4 linked regions of the Cricetulus griseus genome follow. The protein of the gene in region 2 purifies or fractionates together with the protein of the main gene of each other region. This does not show direct contact. Links are inferred from orthologs where the notes say so. Each region holds a gene or a part of one and is shown on either strand. Other genes may lie near its edges.

Region 1 (3,500 bases), on a different chromosome or scaffold from region 2:
AACCTTCTATTACTGTTTACTTAATATTGTACAACAGATGGCATGAAACCCACCCATCAAAAAAACTAACGGCACATGTTACCTGAGAACTAGTAAGATCATTCAGGCCTAAACTGGAGTGCTGGAGTGTGCTCAGTGTCACAGCTCTACGTGGAGCAGACCAATTTCAGTGACCACCAGGACTTTAGACCAGAGAATTCAAATGGCTTCTATAGGACTGTGCTGCCTGGGGAACAAGTGGAAGACACACAACCCAGGGGCTGGTTCCCCCAGGACTGATTCCGGATCTATGTGAGGACTACTGGCTTCTATTGTCACTGGGATGATGCTCCATATAAACAGCTTTCAACTGACTGACAAAGAGCTTAGACGGTGGAGAAGAGTTGGTAGGGTGAAAGGACAACAGCATTTGGAAACCTGCAGCTGACTGAAAAAGTTTAACGACAAGTCAGCTTGGTGAGCTAAACTGCAGTTTTCCTGGCGGTGATGGAAATAAGATTCTCCAGGTTCAGGTTTTTGCTTACTCATAGGTAATAAGCTATGGCCTGCCACATGTCAGGCAGAAGAGCAAGGGATTAGCCTGTTAAAAGTATGCTCATAGGGTGTGTGGTCTGAGTATTGTCGCAGTTGGTGGACTATTTAGGAAGGATCAGGAGGTAAAGCCTTGTTAGAGGAGGTGTTTCACTGGAAGTGGGCTTTGCGATTCTAAGCGCCCACGCCAGGCCCAGTCTCACTCTCTCTTTGCCTCCAATTCGTGGATCAGATGTAAGCTCTCAGCTACTGCTGCAATGGCATGCCTCCCTGCCTATTGCCATGCTCCCCGTCATGATGGTCATGGACTCATCATTTGACACTGTAAGCAAGCTCCCAATTAAATGCTTTCTTTTAGAGCCTGGAGACATGAATCAGCGGTTAAGAGCAATTATTGCTCTTATAGAGGACCCAGGTTCGGTTCCCAGCACACACACACACAAGGCAGCTCACAACTACCCAGAATTCTAATCCCAAGGGATCTGACTCCCTCTTCTGATCCCCTAAGTGGAGTGCGCTAAGTGGAGCACCCATAAACAAAATAAATAAACAATAAACTAAATTTAAAATTTTTTAAAGTTTAAAGCACACCTCCTAAACATTCCACCAACTGGGACAATACACATTCAGAACACTGCAACATATGAGCATACCTTTAACAGCATTTAAAAAATGTTTTTATATGTTACCTTGATCATGGTGGAGCTCAGGGAGCCAAGAACAGTCTACAAAACTCTCTCTCAATCCCACATCAAAAAAGGCTCCAACTCTGATCCACTGAAGTGACAAGAGCTATACTTGGAATTGGACACTATACTATTTATTTATTTTATATGCACTGGTGTTTTGCCTGCATGTATGTCTGTATAAGGGTGTTGGGTACCCTGGAACTGGAGTTACAGACAGTTAGGAGCTGCCATGTGGGTGCTGGGAATTGAACACGGGTCCTCTTGAAAGAACAACCAGTGTTGTAACCACTGGTTGTTCTCTCTAGACCCAGAATTGGACTTCATAATGTACAAAAATAGAGCAAGAACTTTGGCCTAGCCGGGCGGTGGTGGCGCTCGCCTTTAATCCCAGCACTCAGGAGGCAGAGGCAGGCAGATCTCTGTGAGTTCGAGGCCAGCCTGGTCTACAGAGCGAGTGCCAGGATAGGCTCCAAAGCTACACAGAGAAACCCTGTCTCGAAAAACCAAAAAATAAACAAAAACAAACAAACAAACAAACAAAACCAAAAGAACTTTGGACTGCCTATTAAAAGGAGCTTTCCACAGAATCCTACTTAACCTGAAGACTGCTATTGAGATGAGGAAAGTTCTAGGAAACAACACAGTACTATCTGCCTTGCTGTTTCCTTGGAGACCATGTGCTAAGTGGAGTTTGAGGAAGAATCTGGGTGCTCCTGAGTGCCCGGGCCAGCAGCACATAGCAGTAATTCAATTCTGCCATGACTAAAGGGACAGATAATATAAAGTACAAAGACTCAATCCAGCCCTTTTCATATTAATCCAGCAAAAACACTCCAGATACCTGCAGACACCCAAGCCAAACAAAAGCCACAGGCTGCCTTTTACCTCTAGCTGCCGAATCGCCGTTTCCCTCTCTTTAATAAGTTCCAGGTCTTGCTCAGTGATGGCCGCCTCATCCTCCTGGCTCTGCATCTGGTTCCACTCCTCATGGCTACAGGGAGACAAGCACTCCAGTTGATTCCTTCTCTCTAAGGTACGAGGAGATATAACTACATCTCTGCTGACAGCAGGAACTACACAGACATTACCCAGGACCCAACTCTTCTACTAGCAATACAAAATTCAGAGACAAGGATGTAATACCAAGAAAATTAAATTTCAGTCATAGGCAAAACTGAGATGAGGCAGAATTATGGAGGACAGGCCACTTTGCCTTTTCCACTTAGGGATACTTTTTCCAGACAAGGGAAGTATCCGCAGGTTCAAACTCAATGAAGTGTACTGACCAGCTCTCCAGGGCACTCTCAAAGAACAAACTGTGTAAAGGAGCAGTAAATGAATGGAGGAAAACAGACTCAGCCACCAAACAGCTTCCTAGGAAGTTCCTTGAGACTGTTTTGGGATAGACCCCATTTAACAGAAAGCCAAACTAAAAGCTAATAAAATTTTTGCAGCTTGATATTTTCAGGTACTTAGAAGAAAAGTGTGCTATTTATTAAATTAAAAAATACTTGGAAAATTCAATATTATATAATTGACTCTTTAAAAAAAAATCATTATGAGCTGAAGAGATGGCTCAGTGGTTAAGAGCACTGGCTGCTCTTCCAGAGGACATAGGTTCGATTCCCAGCATCCACATGGCAGTTCACAAATGTCTGAAACAGTAATACAATTCCAAAAGATCTAACACTCTCACACAGACATACATACAGACAAAACACCAAGGCACATAAAATAAAAATAAAGCAAATTTTAAAAAATCATTACATGTATAGGCTGGGTGTGGTAGTATACACCTTTAATCCCAGCACCCAGGAGACAGAGGCAGTTGGATCTCTTTGAGTTGAAGGCCAGCCAGGCCTACAAAGCAAGCTTCAGGCCAGCCAGGGCTACATAGTAACCTGTCTCCAAAAACAGGGGGGAATTACATAGACTCATTATGTAAACCATAGTCTTGAACTCAGAGGTCCACCTGTCTCTGCCTCCCTAAAGGCATGAGCCACCATGCCCAGTACATTTATTTTAATTGTATGTGCACACACATGTACAAGTAAGTGGAGGCCAGAGGACAACCTCTAGGAGTCATTTCTTCCCTTCCACCATGGTGTCCAGGGTGTCAGCCTTGGCAGCATGTGCGTTTACACACTGAGCCATCTTTCTAGCCCTTACACATTTTCTCAACAATATGTATAAATCATATTATTTAAATATATAATATTTAAAGCATGTCCTTTAGGCTTTGAGGTGTCCACAATATAATGTAAGAGATGAATACATATC
Region 2 (4,239 bases):
GGCAGAGTTCTGTGAGTTCAAGGCCAGCCTGGTCTACACACACACACACACACACACACACAGAGAGAGAGAGAGAGAGAGAGAGAGAGAGAGAGAGAGAGAGAGAGAGAGAGAGAGAGAAGAAAAGAAAATGTTGTGCCAGGTTCAAGGAGTCCCATACCAATCCCAGGAGTAGACACTGATGCAAAAGCAAAAGGTTTGTTTTTATTGTTCAAGCTGGCCAGCTTGGATCTCACTCCATGGTGGGGAAATGAGACGCCAACAAGCCAAAGAGAGAAGCTTTTAAAGGAGCAGACCGTAAGGTTGAAGTAACTTAACGAAACGTCTCAAACTTTTTTAAAAAGTGAATAAAGGCATAGCTCAGTGCACGAGACTCAATCACCAGCATCAGAAAGAAGAAAAGTGTTTAACTTGGGCTGGGGATGTGGCTCCAGGTCCTACAGAGAGAACTTTGTTGTGAACTTCACAAGCACTTCAGAGACAGTGTCACCCCTAACCCTAGACTCACATATACATCAATATGCATCATTCAGTATATTCAGGTATAGGTATGTGTATGAAAAAGAGCAGGTGGTTAATATATATTATATATGTTTTTTTGGGGGGGGTGTTGGAGGCAGGATTTCTTTGTGGCTTTGGAGGCTGTCCTGGAACTAGCTCTTGTAGACTAGGCTGGTCTCAAACTCACACAGATCTGCCTGCCTCTGCCTCCTGAGTGCTGGGATATAAGGTGTTTGCCACCACCACCTGGCTTATATATAAAATTTTTTAAAAAGAGAGGCAATAAGGAAAATAGTCCTAGCCCCGGATTCCCCACATTTTACTTGTTTGCCTTCACACTATCAGCTATGAAGACAGGAGCTTAGTCTTGCTCTGTAAGGGCAGATCAAACATATAAAATCCATAACACAATTCCATCAAATACGAGACCTAAATTAAGTACCTCTGGAGTTAGGATGGGAGACATTACTGATGTCAGAGGTGCTCAGATTGGCTGGGCTGCAAGAGGACATCTTGGGCTGACTTCCAGACTAAAGCAGATTTCCATACTGGAAGGAGGGGTGAAATCTAAACACCATGGAAAGCACAAGCACAGAAGAATTGAAGAAAGCATGCCTGACCAAGTACTGGCCCTGTTAGCAGGGTACATTTAAATAGGACAGATTAGCAGAGGTCAGTTTCTACAGAACTTGGCACAGTAGTCTAATGAGATCTGACTCAGGGGAATTTTACCCCAAGACACTGAAGCATTAGAACTCTTTTACTGTTAGTCTCAATTGTTTTACTCAGTGGCTTTCTCATTTGACAGTTGAAAGCTTTCTTGTGTTGCTGGTGACCAAACTCAAAGCCTTGCATGTAGTAAGTTCTACCACTGAGAAAAACTGAAATATATGAACATTCAGATGATGTACTGATATGCATGTAAAAATCATTTTTAAATACTACTTAATGATATGGAGACACGCTTCCTGTTGTGTAAAATACAAGCAGGATATAGATTCAAACAATAAAAGTCTTCAAAAGAAGTTAACATTGGTTCTTTCCAAATGATGAAGATGCTATTTATTTTCTTTCCTGCAGATACTCAGTAGTCTCCAAATTTTCTACCAGGGGTGTACACAATTGTTGAAACTTGTGTGTGGGGGGGAGTAAGAAGTGTTAAATTCAGCAATTTCCTGGGCATGGTGGCTGCATGTAATCGAACCACTTAGACTGAAGCAAGAGGATCAGGAATTTAAGGTCAGACTGGGCTCTCTGAGACAATGGAAACAAAGCACACAAACAAATGAAAGCCCAAGAAAATTTCAGCAACTAGCCCAAATATCTCAAATCCCAGGTAACTCTAACTCTGACCTTGGGATCCACTCTCCTAATACTTAAAATTGTCTGCCATCAAACAATTATAAACTGTACCAGAAACACCCACATAAGGCATATCCTCCAACAAGAACTTTATAGAAATACAATGTTATAAATTATTAAACAGGAAGGTCAAGACTGTATAGCAATGTGTTCCTTGTGTGAACACATTTTCTTCATTCTTTCCTTGGGGCTTCATTGCTGAATAAATGGCCCTTATCGGGTGCTGACTTTTGCACTAGTTCTTGCTGACGTTAAGTCTTCATGATACTGACACAGGAAAGGGTAAACTGCCTATCACAAGTGCAAACTTCCCTCCCAGATTGCTACAAGTCTTATTGTGAAGAGCCCATTACACCTATGCCCAGCTAACTACTAACTGGCTGGGGACCATGGAGTCTGAACCTCAGTTTCTTCCCTTTCTGGGGATTAATGGGTGAAGGCAGAGACATCCCACCAAAAGGTTATTTCTACTTCACTTTTACAGGACCCCAGGGGAGTCTACACACGCAGTCATCCACAGGCAGGTTAGGCGAGAAGCCCCCACAGAAGGCGGGGGAAAATATCGATTCTGCTCAAGTCCCAGCTCCCCCAGGTCACGGTGTCCCCCTCCGACCACCGAGTTAGCGCCGGGGAGGCGGGATGTGGTTGGGTCCCCAAAACAGGGAAAGGATCCTCACCCGCTTTGCTCACCCCTAAAAGCTGACAGCCTCAAGTTCAACGATGGCCAGGGTTTATGCGAATCCCTGGGAGCCACTTCCACCCCAAGTCCTACGGCAAACTACTGCCAACACCAGCAACTCACCAGGGGTCCGGGGCCATGGTGCAGTCTCCGCCTGCAGCTGGGACACTTCCTGCTCACAGCAGCTGACTACGGCGGCCCGCGCGGCTCATTCCCCGCAGTTCGGAAGGTGCGCGACCCGAGCCCAGCGGACAGCACAGAAAACATATTTTAGGGGCCTCAAAACCACACCAACCAAAGCTCACCCCTGGGAGACAGTGGATTGCAACAATCGATTTTTAGTTAATTCGTACGAACTGCTGGACGCAAGGAAAATGGTTAAATTGTTGAGCAGAATCAAAACCTTTTCCCAGGGATGGAAGCGCTTCAGACTCCGGCTCTCGTAGTTCTTCGCATTTTTTTTTTTTCTTTTTTTCTGATTCAAAAACAACAGAGCAAGCCGGCTGTGATACCTCGCGCCTGAATTTGCCGTGCTTGGAAGGTTGAAGCCGGAAATATTCATACAAGCAACGTTCATAGTGATACATACATGAAAATAGTTGCATACTGTACTTAAATTTTTAAAGTGATCTTTTCAAAAAGAATTCTTTTACAAGGAGGTATCAATTCCGTGTTTTGTTTTGTTTTGTTTTTTAATAGCAGCCTACGCATCAGAGGCAATTCTCTGTGTTCAATTACTTTTAATAGTTACCATAAGAGGCTTAATTTTATAGTTAAGACAAAAGTCAGAGTTTACACGGGAGACGAGGGAATTCATTCTGCATATTCAGTATTCACCTAACACCTAAATTTCTAGAATGAGTGAAAAAAATAATAAGGAAGCCCTCCCTACATTTACAAAAAGGTAAATAAAGTCGAACTCAGTGGGCTGGATTTCTGCTCCAGCGTAAACCTAGCACGCATGCGTGCGCCAGTTACCATAACGACCAAAAGACGCTGCAGCCAGGAGTTGAGGAATCAATGAGTTGAAATTCTCCAAGATGGAAGAACAAAATTTACCCGAAACCGAGACCGACGTAGCCGAACTGGAGCTTGAGGCTGTGATCGGCTTCAATGGTGAGGCCTGGAGCATCCATAATACCCCAGGGACAAGTGAGACACTGACTTGGTGGCACCTGAGAGGCCGTGGGGACAGTGGCAAGAGCCTAGCCAGGCATCACCCACGGTGATGAAGGATCTTAGCCTCATTCCCGAGCCTCAGAAATTGGAATGTGCCTAACTCAGTCTCTCTCTCTCTCTCTCTCTCTCTCTCTCTCTCTCTCTCTCTCTCTCTCTCTCTCTCTCTCTCTCTCTCTCTCATACGCGCACACACACGCACCCCTGGGAGCAGTCCTTGGCTCTGAATATTCCCCCAACCCCCACCCCCATGCATCCCCGGGTAACACCCAACCTGGGGCAAACAAACAAACAAACAAACAAACAAAAAAACACCTTTCCACACCCCTTGCTGATCTACAGTTGAGAAAGGCCTTAGGTGGAACTGCTCTAGGGGTGCTCTGTGTCCTCTGTCCCAAGTAAGGACTCTCAAAGGTTTAAAAGACAGGGATGGGAGGGAAGAGGACGTAAAGGGAGACCGCCAAGGGAGAGTCCTTGTTGATTCTGGAGAGGCCTGGCCGCTGTCATTACTTGTGGCTGTC
Region 3 (3,500 bases), on a different chromosome or scaffold from region 2:
CTGACTATTAGTAATAGAGAATAATCACCAACTAGCTATCTATACTAAAATGACCACTTTACCTCTTTTAATAGAGAGCTTTATTATGTTGGCTTATAGTGACACAATCAGAAAAGTGTTCTATAGGTCTGGGCCCCTATATCCATGATGCTTGAATTTAACAAAAAAGAAAATACAAATTAAAACACTATGTCCTGAGAAAAATCTTACCAGTTGTGCAGCCAAAACACTCGAGAACTCGCTATTCATGGCATATGGAAGTGCAGTCTGTGCTCTTGAACCGTAAGTAGTTTGGAATCTCTTTTTTACTTCATTCAGAAAACTGAAGGCTCGAGAGCGCTCAAAATCCTGTAAAGTGACCAATATTGTACTCATATTTACAAAGTAAACAAAGATATTTGGCAGATTAGTAATAACAACAATAATGTTTACTGACTCATGACTGACTCCATGAGGAGTAAGCAGAACGGATCCTGCTTCATAGATAAGAAACAAAAGCTACAAAAAGACAACTAACTTGTCAGGTCAAACAGCTAATAAATTAAAAAGCTGAGAGCCAAATTCAAACTAAAAACAATGGTATGTAGATTAATAACTCAGGGGTCAGGAATTGATTTTCAATTCTTCCAGTTCTTTCACATGATCACAAGGTCTAGCATAAGAAGATGCTCAATACATCAATAAAAATAGTATAGTTTGGAGGCTGGAGAGATGGCTCAGTAGTTAAGAATGCTTGTTGCTCTTTGAGAGGACCCAAGTTTGGTTCTCAGCATCCAGGTTGGACAGCTCACAATTGCCTATAACTCCATCTCCAAGGAATCTGATTTGCTCTTCTGCTCTCTGTGGACATTCTCACACATAGAAATACACATACACCTAAACAAAATAAAAAACAGATTTTTAAAAAGATTATGGTATTTAATATATAAATATAATGCTATTGATATGGATTTTGAACTAATACTTTCTAATAGCAGTGATACATCTGAAAAGGTCAAGTGACGTACCCTGTCTACTCACCAGAAGTCAAAAAGTTGTGTATATGTGTGTGTGCACACATGCAACAAACCACAGCTTAAGAGTTTTGCTGCTCAAGTTGGACCATTTGATATTCTATGACAGTTCTCATCGATTTTAAGCATTTCACATCAGTCCTTACAGATACAGCTGGACTTTATTGTGAAACCAGAGGAAAAAATCATTTGATGATCAATGTAATTGAACATCATTTTGACTTAGTTTAAACCAAGGATTTTTCATTATTTTATGTGTGGGAGTGTTTTTGCCTATGTAGCACATGTATGCATAGCCTTAGAGACCGCAAGAGGGTGCCAGATCTCCTAAGTTACGGATGTTTGTGAGCTACCATGTTGTTGCTGAGGCTCTAACCTGGGTCCTCTGGAAGAGAAGCCAATGCTCTTAACCACTCACTGAACCATCACTCCACCACTACATCACAGATTCTTGAACTGGGATCAATGGTCAGAATTCTAGGGGCACTTGTATTAGGATACGAAGAAATATTACACTGTTATTTTCATCATTCTTTAGGTTAAATTTCAATTTTGAATGGAAGTAACAAAACAAAGGAGTATTAAACAGTACCTATAGCTTGTCATCTCCAGAAATATTTATTAATATGCTATCACAGTTACAGGTATTTTGAAATAGTTTACATGCATTAACATTTCAAAAGTATTATTATTAGGCTGATGACCAGGTATTCAATGAAGTCATAAAGAAATATATTTATTAGTATATCCTTTAAAATATATTGAATGTTATATGTAAGTAGAATTGATTTTGTTTAGACTCCTGTGTGTTCTAGTTCATACCTTTAACAACATTCTTGGTATAAACACAAGGGATAAAGGAGTCTGTGACAAGAAAATTTAAGAACATTGATTTATAGAAATCATGTTAATTTAATTCCATGACTCTATCAGAGAACAGCTTAGAAATAGCACATGGCCATTATGGCATGAAAAGGAGTTAACTTCAAAAGAAAAGAGAGGGGCATATTTTCCTCTGTCTCTCTTCTTTGTACATAAATAAGTAGCCATGTAGCTACATGCAACCATAAGGGGAACTTGTAAGAAACTAACAATGAATAATGAAAATGTTTCTTGATGACATTAAGTTACTGAACATTCTGGACTTATAGCCAAAATACTCAGAAAACAACCTAACCAATGTAAACTACACATGTACATTGATCATAATGCACTATGATACTGTTTTTCTAAAGTACAGATATATAAAAATTTATTAAATATTGACTGAAGGAACTAAATAATTAATTTAATATTCAATGTCAACATTTTGAGAAGCTTTTATAACAATCGTAGTCATTAGGTAGAGAGAGGCCAAATTGGATCTCTCCATTGGGTCCCTCCCCTTTGAAGCTTGGGGAACCACATGGAAAGAGGGGGAGGAAGAATTGTAGGAGCCAGAGGGGCCAAGGATACCAGGAGAACATGACCCACAGACATTAACTAAGGAGGGCTCACAGGGACTGAAGCAGCAACCACAGAGTCTGCATGGATTCACACTAGGTCCTCTACACATATGTTATGGTTGTTAGCTTGGTGTTTTTGTGGGACTTGTAGCAGTGGGAATGGGGGAGTCACTGACTCTTCCATCTGCTCTTGGACCCTTTTCTTTCTACTTCCTTGCCTTGCCCAGCCTTGTTATGAGGGTCTATGGCTAGTCTTATTGTATCTTGTTACGCTATGTTCAGTGGATAGCCCTAGGAGGCCTGCTCTTTTCTGAAGGGAAACAGCAGGAGTGAACCTGGGGAACAGAGGAGGTGGAGGCAGGGGAAACTACAGTCAGGGTATATTGCAAACCAAGAATAAATTTTAAAGATTCAAAAAATGATTAAAAAAACAAAAACAATCATAATAAATGCTAATTTGAAAATACTGTATGGGGTAGTAAATTTTCAGAGAGATTAAGCAGAAACTATCAAAACTGAGCTAAATAATACATATTCAAGTATCAAACTTTGTCATAATATGCTCTTTATAATAAATGCAAAATGCAGAAAAAATTCAAGCTACAAATTTTTATCATCTTTAGCCACTATAGGTATAGATAATTAATAATTGACTGTATTAGTATGCATAGTAAAATAGCAATATATCTTCAAGTTACTTACATCATCAGTGATACAAAGATACACAATCCTGTCTTGGCAGATGTAATGAAACAAGTAACTGTAGAATAAAAGATATAAATCATATTGTAATTTTAAACATCATCTATTTTGCTTCTAAGTTCTATCTATATATGCCAGTTTAGTATGTCCAACTTCACTATATTAATTACAAATACAATTCATTCTCATCCTCCCCTCCCCTATACATTTGTATCTCTGGATAAACTGACAGGAATGAATAAAATGTGAAAAGAGGTTCTCGTTCCTAAATAACATGTGCATTAACATTTAAAATGTTAACTACAAAAGCATAAATGGATTTTTAAGGCCTACAGAAGAG
Region 4 (3,500 bases), on a different chromosome or scaffold from region 2:
TTGAGGAGACTTCGGTAGCCAAGGTCTGTTGGCATAGGCTCTATTGGTGGGACAGTCCCTGCCACGGCAGTGGGGGAGAAACATGGATTCACAGGGCCTAGTCCTCTTATGCTGGCCCCTTGCTCTGGGAACAGCTTGGAAAGTAGTAGGCTGCCAGCTGACACCCGGGCCTGCTCTTACCACAGGGCTTATCTGATGCCACAGGCCTCAGTGAAACCTTGAAGGTAAATAGTAGGGCCCTTGGTCTATTCCCACCCTCTTGTGCTCAGCCTGTCCAGAGCAGGTAGGGAGTTACAGAGCCCGGCTCACCTCCGCATCACCCTGAAGCCCCTGATCACATGCAGATCTAAGCAAGCACCGTCCACAACAAACTAGGGACAAACCACGAGCTCCAATGAGGCGGTGGGGATAGGTAGATAGGAAGCCAGACTGCTTCCCTGCCCGTGCACATTCACAGCTCATTTAGAGCTCCTGCTCTAAAAGGGTCACATTCCCAGGCCTCAGGCAAGCAGCTCAGGCGAGATTCCTAAAGAGCTGATGGACCAGACCCCAGGGCAGGGGATCTCACAGCTAGCTAAGGGAGGTCCTTCCTGAAGAAACTGGGGGTTCAAGCCTCCACTGGTCATCCAGTTGTTTCCCAGGGCACCCAGCCATGCAGGGAGGCTCTGGTGCCAGGGGCTGCCCCCTTCTGGATGCCAGGAATGAATTGCTGTGTACAGCTCACAGTAGGTGTGTGCTATCACTGAAGAGAGAACACAGCAGAGTGACGGCTAGGCTGAAGTGTAGTGGGGCAGCACAAGTCCCCACTGGGTTCCTTGGAGGAGGGGGAGTGATCTGCTCAGACCACCTGGGCATGTCCTCCCCTGCTTGGTCACTCTTCTCTGTGAGCCCTGACTGGCCCCGCAGAAGAGCTGTCAACCGTGCAAATGCACCCCCTTCCCCTCATATGTGGAACTGTGACTGGGCAGGGCAGCAAGGCAGCAGCGCTGGATGCCACGTGGCTGAGTCCCTAGCCCTTAACACCAGAAGCGCTCCCCTCACAACTGTGCTTTCCCCGTGAGGCAAGTCGGCCCCTCTCTACCTTCACTCACACCCTTGGCTGCAGCACCCTCAATACTTTCCCATCAGCTTGGACTTGCTGAGGCCGGGGCCCATGCCTGGGTCCCGAGAGAAAAAGGACATGACCACAAGCTGGGAGGGGCAGCTATGGCATCCTGCAGGTTGGCATCCACTGCCACCTAGGAACAAGTCCTCCCGGCCATTCCGGCTGGAGCAGCAGCTGAAGGGCACAGATGCCAGGCAGCATCTCCAGGCCAACCAGTTCCCCAGGGAGCAGAAGGGAAAGTGTGGGGACGGCTCTGTGGGGGAGAGGACTGCCCTGAGTCACTGGGTGTATCTAAGTCCTGGCTGAAAGGCCATCCGTCCCTCTCTGTTTGTCAGGCCTGAGCCACACATCATAGCTAAACAAACAGGAGTGACCAGTCAGCCCAGGGACAGAGTCACCACAGTCATCTCTCTAATTGGGAGTGGTCCTGTGACAATGACGGCTGACATCCACTGATGCTGGGGAGGACCGAGGTGCTTGTCTTCTCTTCTCCTCAGAGGTGGGCTTTCACCCAGACCCCAAGCCTCTCCTTTGGGAAAGAACAGTCACTTCTTTCCCACTCTCCTGAGAGAAACAGCCTGGATACTTTAAAGATTTATTTATGAGACACAGTCTCATGTAACCCAGGCTGGCCTCAAACTCACTATGTAGCCAAGAGCTAAGGATAGCTGAGTGTCTGATCTTCCTGTCCCTACTTCCCAAACTCTGGGACGACAGGCAGGCACTGCCATGACTAGCTTAGATGGCCAATTAAACAAACAAACAAACAAACAAACAAATACCTGTGCGTGCTGAAATTTAAAGTTAGTCATCTATGTAGCTCTAAGATTTTCAAAAAGAACCATTTTCAAAAAGAACCAAAAAGAACTGGGGACATGTACAACACATTTGCAGCACACAGAGGTCCAGGCTCCATTCCCAGCACCACAAAAATAAGTGAACAAAAATACCAAAAGCAAATTCCTCAGCCTGGAAATCTCAAGTCTGAGGTCCATGGGCTGTGCTTTGGCCTAACCAGGCTCCTATGTCATAGGCTCTGCTTTAAGGAACTGGGCTCTGGCAGCTCACTCCAGGCTTGCTCTCTCTGCTTCCTTCTGGTGTGCTGGGAAGGCAGGTCAGGCTGACTTCCGCTCTACCTGGTTCATCTGGGACTGCCCCCCTCCCTGCTCCCTGCTTCCTTCTGCATGCTAATTCTGACAACTGAACAGCTTTGCCTGGCTCCCTGGCAAGGAGTGGGCCTGAGATGGAACTCCCACTACCAAATGCTCGAAGCCCAGGAGGGGGTGAGGGCTGCACACCAGGGTGGGGGTGGGGGGTGGGGAGAGAGGGCAGGATGCCAATGTCAGCCAAGGACCAGCCAATTCTGAATTTGGGGCTTGTTTTGCTCCTGGCCTATCATGTGTCAACTACTGGAAAAACCCAGCTCTGTATAGACCCAAGGATGTGGGGACAGTGCTCAGCTGCTCTGCCAGCTGTGGCTCACAGAGGTTACCTTGTGGGTCGGCTTTCTTGAAAGCGTTGCCTGCGTCCACGAAGCAGGTAGCTGCATCATGCTTGCTCTGGAGCTGTAGGTGCAGCTGGGCAGCCTGGCAGAAAGCGTTCCCGGCAGCTGGAATAGAACAGATCGTCCCAGCTTCAATGCAGTTGCAGTCACTGCCCAGAGAGGCACATTAGGCTCACAATTAGAATACAGGTAGAGGCCAAGATCAGCCCACTCCAGCCCAAAAGCAGCCTGAACCCCTCACAGAGCTTCCTGGTGGTATGCACCTGGTAGAGTGAGGACGTCAGGAAGCAGCCTCGGGGGAAGCCTGAGCCCAGGGGCACAGAAACAGCCAGGTAAACACAGTGCCAAACCCATGTCCCCCCCCCCTCTGCCGGCACCTCCAGAGCCACCACTTCCACAGAGAGGAAGGAAAGACAGACAGAGAGCTGAGGGCTGCAAATACATGAGACATGACACCCAGGCTCTTGGGCTCTTTGAACAGGGAAGCCCAGAACCTGAACTAAAGGTGGGGATGGGGCGATTGGGGGGGGGGGAAGGGATGTGCTCTGGGAAGGCACAGGTGAGATCAACCCATGTGACACTTCCCACTTGCTCCCTTTCCTAGCCCATTTCTGTCCTCCACAACTCCCCAAAGCTCTCAGGTGCACCCCTGCTATGTCTGAGTCCTTGCTAGAAAGGGAAACAGGACGAGGACAGCAAGAGCCAGAGTCCGCGCAGACAGTGCTAATGCCCGAGGCAGCCATGGGCTCCACACCATTTTGCTCAGACCTCCCCTAGACTGGCTAAGGGGAGGCAGCAGGGTTTTCCCTGCTGTGGGTGGTGCTCCAATACCACCTCAGCTAAGGCACTACTTTGCATGCTCCTCCAGTCCCAGCTGAGTGGGAGCCTCCA

What was found.
Region 1: the proteins of Stx8 (region 2) and Stx12 purify together in Homo sapiens (affinity purification with mass spectrometry; 3 studies listed by BioGRID and IntAct, counting the BioPlex papers as one, with this or other methods). This does not show direct contact. The link is inferred for Cricetulus griseus from reciprocal best matches to the Homo sapiens genes STX8 and STX12.
Region 3: the proteins of Stx8 (region 2) and Vamp7 purify together in Homo sapiens (affinity purification with western blotting; 3 studies listed by BioGRID and IntAct, with this or other methods). This does not show direct contact. The link is inferred for Cricetulus griseus from reciprocal best matches to the Homo sapiens genes STX8 and VAMP7.
Region 4: the proteins of Stx8 (region 2) and Napa purify together in Homo sapiens (affinity purification with mass spectrometry; 4 studies listed by BioGRID and IntAct, with this or other methods). This does not show direct contact. The link is inferred for Cricetulus griseus from reciprocal best matches to the Homo sapiens genes STX8 and NAPA.

The regions. Positions count from the first base shown.
Region 1 is NC_048595.1:20,412,087-20,415,586, reverse strand, and holds part of Stx12 (syntaxin-12), read right to left. Parts: intron 2,212-3,500; coding exon 2,106-2,211; intron 1-2,105. UniProt on the Homo sapiens protein: SNARE promoting fusion of transport vesicles with target membranes. Together with SNARE STX6, promotes movement of vesicles from endosomes to the cell membrane, and may therefore function in the endocytic recycling pathway.
Region 2 is NC_048600.1:81,830,588-81,834,826, reverse strand, and holds the start of Stx8 (syntaxin-8), read right to left. Parts: upstream 2,801-4,239; 5' UTR 2,683-2,800; coding exon 2,666-2,682; intron 1-2,665. Other genes in the region: Cfap52 (cilia- and flagella-associated protein 52), read left to right, coding at 3,583-3,658. UniProt on the Homo sapiens protein: Vesicle trafficking protein that functions in the early secretory pathway, possibly by mediating retrograde transport from cis-Golgi membranes to the ER.
Region 3 is NC_048604.1:48,804-52,303, forward strand, and holds part of Vamp7 (vesicle-associated membrane protein 7), read right to left. Parts: intron 3,219-3,500; coding exon 3,161-3,218; intron 349-3,160; coding exon 211-348; intron 1-210. UniProt on the Homo sapiens protein: Involved in the targeting and/or fusion of transport vesicles to their target membrane during transport of proteins from the early endosome to the lysosome. Required for heterotypic fusion of late endosomes with lysosomes and homotypic lysosomal fusion.
Region 4 is NC_048602.1:10,772,293-10,775,792, reverse strand, and holds part of Napa (alpha-soluble NSF attachment protein), read right to left. Parts: intron 2,715-3,500; coding exon 2,598-2,714; intron 1-2,597. UniProt on the Homo sapiens protein: Required for vesicular transport between the endoplasmic reticulum and the Golgi apparatus. Together with GNA12 promotes CDH5 localization to plasma membrane.